2 linked regions of the Xenopus tropicalis genome follow. The protein of the gene in region 1 interacts with the protein of each later gene in a pairwise test. Links are inferred from orthologs where the notes say so. Each region holds a gene or a part of one and is shown on either strand. Other genes may lie near its edges.

Evidence for each region. The genes of interacting proteins can lie anywhere in the genome.
Region 2: the proteins of usp54 (region 1) and atxn1l interact in binary tests that used the Homo sapiens proteins (3 or more experiments, as listed by UniProt). The link is inferred for Xenopus tropicalis from reciprocal best matches to the Homo sapiens genes USP54 and ATXN1L.

The regions. Positions count from the first base shown.
Region 1 is NC_030683.2:44,369,352-44,372,851, reverse strand, and holds part of usp54 (inactive ubiquitin carboxyl-terminal hydrolase 54), read right to left. Parts: intron 1,664-3,500; coding exon 1,474-1,663; intron 1,006-1,473; coding exon 1-1,005.
Region 2 is NC_030680.2:59,918,724-59,922,750, reverse strand, and holds the start of atxn1l (ataxin-1-like), read right to left. Parts: upstream 2,801-4,027; 5' UTR 2,553-2,800; intron 2,528-2,552; exon of another isoform or gene 2,456-2,527; intron 1,122-2,455; 5' UTR 1,007-1,121; coding exon 1-1,006. UniProt on the Homo sapiens protein: Chromatin-binding factor that repress Notch signaling in the absence of Notch intracellular domain by acting as a CBF1 corepressor. Binds to the HEY promoter and might assist, along with NCOR2, RBPJ-mediated repression.

The DNA.
Region 1 (3,500 bases):
TGGTTATCAACAAGATGTATACTGGAACCCTTTATGTCAAAAGACCTGCCCAGGCAGTCTGGTGAGAGGTCTATCTGTTCTGTGCAGCTAGCTTTGTTTTCATGAATTACAAGGGGCTGCAAACTGGATTTATTATCCAAAGGACTGAAAGATTGCTGTTCTGGCAGTGGCTTTTTCTCACCAATATCAACACCAGTACAGTTTACACCAAAATTGTTTAGTTTTGGTGAGCCCCCCTGGAGCCTTTGAAACTGTTCTGCTAGAGAGCGTACTAACCCCTTATTCTTTGGTGCCTCAGATTTGCAAGGTTCTGGACCGCAAAGTTCACCTTGCTTGTCTAATAATGCCTCATGACTATTTGCACTTGAGCACAAGTTGGCTTGTTGAAGGCTGAGGCTGGTGTTACCAGGTGGAGTGATGTCATTACAGGAACCCATCTGTTTATTACTTTCACCAGTTTCAGTACTAACACATTTGTCTGTGCTAACAGATTTATTACAATGACTGGGTGGGTTGCTTCTATCAGGAGACTGAGTCTGTGTTCGGCGTGCCCACGGAAATAGCAATGATGGTAAAGAACCAGATTTAATCCCACTTAGTTTCACCTTATGCAATGTTAGAAGGCCTTCTTTTCCTTCATTTTCCTCTCCCACCTTACATTTATCAGGGCTGACATTCTTTACCCTTTCTGTTTTTGTTTGTTCATTTACTAGGCCTTGGCTATAAGCTTCTGATTTCACCTTATTCTCAAACACTGCTTCCTTTGGAGATGAGACAAGACCTTCAGAATCGAGACTGTTATATGGAGCCAGAAAGTTAGAAAACGCTTTGCTATGTGGGCTTTGCTCAGAAGCTGACAAGTTGGAAGACTCAGAGGACAATGGAAGCAACTCATGGCTACAAGCTAACGGGTGGAATAATGGATTGGATGGGTAGTCCTCCTTTGTGTTGGTCTCCAGCATTACCGGTCTGTTCACTGGAACTTGTTCCGAGATAGCCTGGTCACTAAAAATTAAACATTTTTGACACGTTATTAGCAACTAAAATATATGAGTTATAAGTTGTAAACAAAGGCTTCCATTATGCAATCAGAAGATCTCTGTACACAATGCAGCAGACACCATAACATTAACACTGAATTTAAGCGGCTCCAGCTTAAAAAAATGTAACATTTAAATGGACCAAGCAACGGCAAAATGCAGCATAATAATCAGGCTTCTCTACTGTATCAATTTGAGAGGCTAGTGACTTTTTGTTATCAGCATAGACTGCGTTATTTGGAAGAGTAACTGCAGTAAGGTTACCAAGGTAGCCAACCTTTTGAATATGTAATATATTTCAACAAGAGGTGTATAGTAAATATTTCTTGATGGTAGGCTTAAATAAGATCATTTCTGTTTTGACCTTTAAATACAGAAATCAAAGAATAATTCACTAGTCCATGCCTAGTTAAGGAAGTTACACAGCAGCTACCTTGTAGATTGGTTTATAGCTTCCCCCTGTGGCAAGGGGTAATCTGGTGATGGCGGCTGAGGAATTGTCGGCAGCTGCATGCGGTCCTGAAGACTCCGTGCTTTTCGTATGCACATTTGCAACTTCTTATCTGCTATGGCTCTGCAGTGAGTGCTAGATCTGGCATCATGCATGGCAAATCTGATTTTAGCTAAAATGCAAAAGAAAACATAGCAGAAACAAATGCAGCACACACAAAAAGAAGAAAAAAAAAATCGGATGCAGAAAGGAGCATAACATGAACACATGCACTACAGAAAAACAAAACAAATAATGTTTTTCAGTTGATTAACAACAAACATTTATGTATGCAGCGAATGCATCCTAAAATGTTGCTTGAACCAGCCTTATGAATGTAAAACAAGCTGGGGTGGGAACAGTCTCCATATTATCTCTGTGACCTGTCCTAAAATCAGGTTTTTTTTTTGGTGGGGGTGGCGGATTTCAAGAGATGGCCAATGAAATGTTATTAAAAAAAACCCACAACCACCCAATAATAGTTAGATTAGCAAAGGAAGCTTTGGAGAAAACTAAGACTCATAAGATTTTAAGTGTGTGACCTGTGCCTAACAAAGTGGCTTGCTACCTATGAACTTCAGAATGATGCATTCAGTGCACAGACACTGAACTGGGGTTATGCTGTATTGTAATGTAAAGATTCTCAAAATAAGCTACACCTTAAATGTGGAAAGTCACAAGCCAGCAAATCAAAATGCTTCTATAAGCCAGTATGATAAGAAGAAATCTCTGAAGGGTTACATATGACTCTGAAACGAGGTGCACACATCCACTTTATTTAGCAACAGGGATAGTGACTCCTTTAATAAATAGCCTATAAATGTCACCAATCACAGCAGAGTCCTGTCTACTGATAGTAAAACAAGGTCTTGTTTGAACAAATTTAGATGACATTTCTCAGATAGGATCAAGCAGTTTAGTATAGTTAGGAGAAAATTATCTGTGAGACAGTTTCCTATTTACTGTATGTAAAACCTTACTAAGGTTCAATATCTGTACATAGGTTTTAACCTATGATTTTGAATAAAATGGCTCCTCATGAGAGCAAGGACAATAGTTAGTAGCTACTGAGATCGTTATCTGTGGCCCAGTTTCCATGTCAACTTCTGTGCATAGCATCTCCCCTTGTTTCCAGATTAAATGGATCTGATTCTCTAGTGACAGCAAACAGAACAGATGGCAGCCATCACTTTCTGCGTCCTTGTTCACTGCTGATAGAGTTACTTAAAGAAAGTTGTTTAGAACAAGCGAATTGCACTTTAGCCAATGCCAATTCTTTGCTGACCTAATTCTCCTTATTGACATTTATGGTTTCTGCCAACAGTGTAATGAATATAAAAAAAAAATTACAAAAAAAAACACTCCCGAACTTTGTAAATATGTTGATTAGCTTTTTTGTAATGCATTATTTATGGGACTGTATGCACTAATTCATGACAGCAATGAAGTTTATAAATATAGGTATTTGACTTATTTTACAGCAACTTTTTCAGCATAAAATATTGTACACAACTGGAGTGAGTCAAAAAAGCAAATAATAATATATATGTATATGTATATATATATATATGACCTAGTTTTATTATTCTTATGACATTGATCATTGCTCCTTTTACCAGGGTCAGCTGCACTATAAGTTGCAATAAGTTATGCAACCCATAACTTACCTTTTAGGTTTTTTTTAGCGTGGCCCTCTTTCACCAAGCCAAGCACATTTGTACTAGACCTTTTACACAGGAGTGCTGCACTGCAAATACAATTTGCCTTGGAAGAATGGGTGGAGAAGTGCCTAGATGACAGAAGACTGCTAGACTTTAAGGCACAGCAGCCCAATATCATAAGATTAAATCCATATCAACTTATGGGCTTTAACTGCCTGAATAATTAAACTAAACTAGCAATTAGGTGTTATTGGGCATATTTGTGTCATTCAGCCATATTTCACATTTATATTTAAAAACACACAAGAA
Region 2 (4,027 bases), on another chromosome or scaffold:
CTTCCAAATCTGTGTCTGGGGTGCTCCTGTGGGTTAGCAAAGAAGCCTCTGTCCTTTGTGTTGCCAGTCCTGTGTAAACATCACCATCCACCATATTTTCTTGCCCCCTTCCAAGCTGTTCCTCTGCATTTTGGCTGTAAAGGTCTACTACTTTACTGGGCCTATGGCCAGAGACATGATCAGGCATCCTTTGTGTCCCATTTGTAGAAGTGATTGGAATATCTCTGTCTTTACCCGCATGGGGAGGAGCACAAAGTTCTGTGTTAGAATGGCATGCCAGAAGCATTTCGTTCACAGGATAGGCTACTGGCAGCTGAGAGGAATGCTGATAGAATACAGGCACTCTTCCCTTTGCAACATCCACTGGCACCACCCCCATTAGGACTGAAGGAGACTGTGCAGTGTTAAGTTTGCTTATGGAGTGGGGAGACTGAGCCTCTGAGGGTGGAGTCACACCCTCAACAAGGACAGAATTATATGGCACATAGTGAGGGACATGAGAAGCAGCTAAGTTGGCAGGAGGTGATATCACTGCTCGAGAAAGAAAGCCTGGTGGAACTGTATATGGAACTGCGTAGGGGGAACCAAGGAACTGCACAGCAGTATGTGGAATTGGAGCATAATGAATAGGTGGATAAGTAATACCTGGGTGCTGTATCAAAGGAGAAGCTACATTAAAGGATGATGGGATGGAGCTCATATTCATCACAGGATGGAGACCAGGTGGGGAAAAGGAGGCAGCAGGCACTGCAACTTTGTAAAACGTTGCATACTGATCCACAGTTACAGCTTCTGCTTCCTCCCCCGCAGCTTCATAACTAACTCCATGTCCCTGTCCTGCTGCCACATACACACTCCTCGGCCATCCTGAAGCTTCACTTGTTGTACTTTCATTAGCAGATGAGCCAGGTACCTTGGGTTCCTCCTCCACATTTACACTGTTTTGTGACAGATCCCGTTTCTTTGGTGGAAGACATTCCTGGCTCCTCTCATGTGCAGGCTTCATATTGTCTCCTACTCTGCCTGGGATCTCTGTAGTTTATTAACTTCATTGATGCCTCACAGGAATAACCTCTGATAACTCCATTTACATCCCTTGGATGTCTTGTAAACTCTAAGAGCTAAACAAAAGGGAATCTAATTAGATTAGTGATTAGCATAAGAGACACTAGAATAAAACAAATGAAAATAGCAAATCTAGAAAAATACAAATTATAGGCCTATATATAGTAACAAGAACAACATTTTCCTAGATCTAGTAACCCATAACATCCAACCAACAGGTAGCACTCAATGTTCCGTTACAGCATGAAAAACATGAGAAACACTGATGCAGCTGCTATTGGTTTCTAGACCTCAGTAAACTCTTCCCTGTCACTGCACCACCACAATAATGTCAGGATCAATAAGACAACTTATAGTGACCGACAAATGATAACAGAACAATATTCAAGAAGCAATAAACTGCAATAAGCGCTCCCCACAGCCCTCATGCCAACAGTCTATATCCCATCAATGTGATCCAATTGTTTGGCCCTCAGGCCAAATGATCAGATAAATCTAATATCGCCCACCCCAAGGTGAATATATTAGGAAAAAGTTCTGCTTTTTTTGGAGACCTTGAGTCGATCTTACAGTGTATGGCTGTCTTTTCTATTCCCTTCTTTTCATGTTCTGTAACATATCTGAAAAGGAGAATAATAGAAGAGTGCAAAGAGGAGACCTGATTTGATACATTTATTTTGTAATCAGAAGGGAACAGCAAAGTGCAGACAAAAACTGCTTTCAAATACAATTTAATTTACAAGTAAAACGTTGGATAGCACCGACCTAGGCATATAAATACATTTGCATTTGGGATTCAGGTTCTCACAAGCAGCCTACCCCATTTGATATACTAAGGACAATTTTAAAGTATTTTTCTGCAATGCTAAGACTAATATGCATTTATAAAATTACAAATACAACACAAAGCAAAGGTTTTTCTGTATCAAGCCACTGCGCACAAACACACAAAACTAACGCCCTCCCCACTCACAGGGGAAACCAATAAATATTTAACTCTGCTATAAATTATACACACGATATGTTTTCAAAGAGGATCTATTCAAACTTCTGTTTAAGGGCAACTCCACCTTCAACCCATCGTTAAAAAAGACATTCGGGCAGAAAGAGTGGGCAGCTCTTATTTTATTATTGTGTTGCAAAATGTTTAACAATTCTACTGAACACGCTAAATGTAGATATTATTCTAGTCTACTGGCTCCTGTCAAGGCCGCCAAGGAGAGGGGGGGGGGGGGGGGGGGGGAGTCGTCCTAGACCAGCGGGTTTTGAGCATTAAGGTGGGGGCCGGCAGTGCTACACCTACTTGGATACCGGCCCCCCTGCTGTCAGTGAGCTGCAGAGTTCGGGAGCTATTTAGGTTGCTACGGCGCCTGAATGTTCTTTGCCCTACTCTGCTTTATACTGCCAAATAGTCCCCCGCATTCCGTAAAACAGCCCAGCAGTCCCGAGTTCCCAAGCGCAGCCCGCAGTCCCGTATCGCTACTTACACCTCCCGTAAAACTGTTAACTGCAGGCTCCTAGCCTCCTGTCTTACAGCAAATCCCAAAGCCACAAGTCTCATCACGCGAGACTAGCGTCAGGACTAAACGTAAGCGCGATGACGCATCACGTATCCGCCTAGTGGAAGTGACGAGCCGGTGTAACCCAGTCGGACACTGCAAGTTGTTGGAGGTTCAATTGAAATCTATTTTTCCTTTGGTCGCACCTCCTACGTTTGTTGAGGACATGAAAAGAACCAGAAAATATTTTCTTGTTTTCTTGTTTATTTTTCGCCATTACCACCCAGTTTCTACCGAAGTTATGTATTTTTTTGTGCTGCTAAGAGTTGCTTACTTGTGCCAGCGAACTGGAAAAGAGGAGCCTCTTGTATACCGTCAAGATGAACAGCACTTTAACGTGCAATGTTGAACTATATATTGCTTGAGAAATACAGCCTGGCATATATAAGTTTTTAGTGTGTAGACAGAGTCCTCAGCCAGCCTAGTTTATTGTGACCCAGATGCTTTACTAGAGGCTTACATTATTCATACCCACCTACTTCTTAAATATGGGCCCAGCAAGCACAGAGGGCCCGGCGTTAGGGATTATAAATAGCAGCGATTTAGAATTCTATATAAAAGAGCCCTATATGTGAGGTCCTGCCAGCCCAAAAGCTTCTTACAGGAAGGTAATGTATTATAGTCTGGCACTTGAAGGGGTTGTTTACCTTTAAGTTAACTTTTAATATGTTCTAGAATGGCCACTTCTAAGCAACTTTTTAGTTGGTCTTCATTTTTTTTATTTTGTATTATTTGCCACCTTCTGCCTCTTTCCAGCTTTCAAAATGGCCATTGACCCCAGCAGCCCAAAAAACTATTGCTCTGCAAAGTTACAAATTTATTGTTACTTTTTTTAATCTATCTATTCAGGCCCTCTACTATTCATATATCAGTAACTCTTTCAAACCACTCCCTGGTTACTAAGGTAATTGCACCCTAGCAACCAGATAATTGCTTAAATGCCAAACTGCAGAGCTGCCGAACAAAAAGTAAAATAATTAAGAACCTACCAATAATAAAAAATGACCAATTGCAAATTAGAATAGCACTCTATATTAACTTATTGATTTTCTTGGAAAAGGCACAGTCTACTAATACTCTGTATATAGTTGCAAGAACATATAATTTTGTGCTAATGCAGGGCTGCCATCAAGATCGGGGTGGGGGCAGTTGTTTTGGGCCCCAAGGGTTTTGGATTTTAAGGGGGGGGGGGGCCTGGCTGTGCTGCACTTGGATTACCAGGTCCCCTGCCGTCAGTTGCTGCGCTGTGTACATGTTCTTTCCCCTACATAGCTGTCTCATTCACAGCTACACAGGACTGAGAGTGTGCTGAGTCTTTAGGTACCACCACAGTTACCCATGGGGTTCTGTATAGCCAACGTGAAGTTTAATCTTGAGTGGCTCCTAGTTACTGTATGTACATG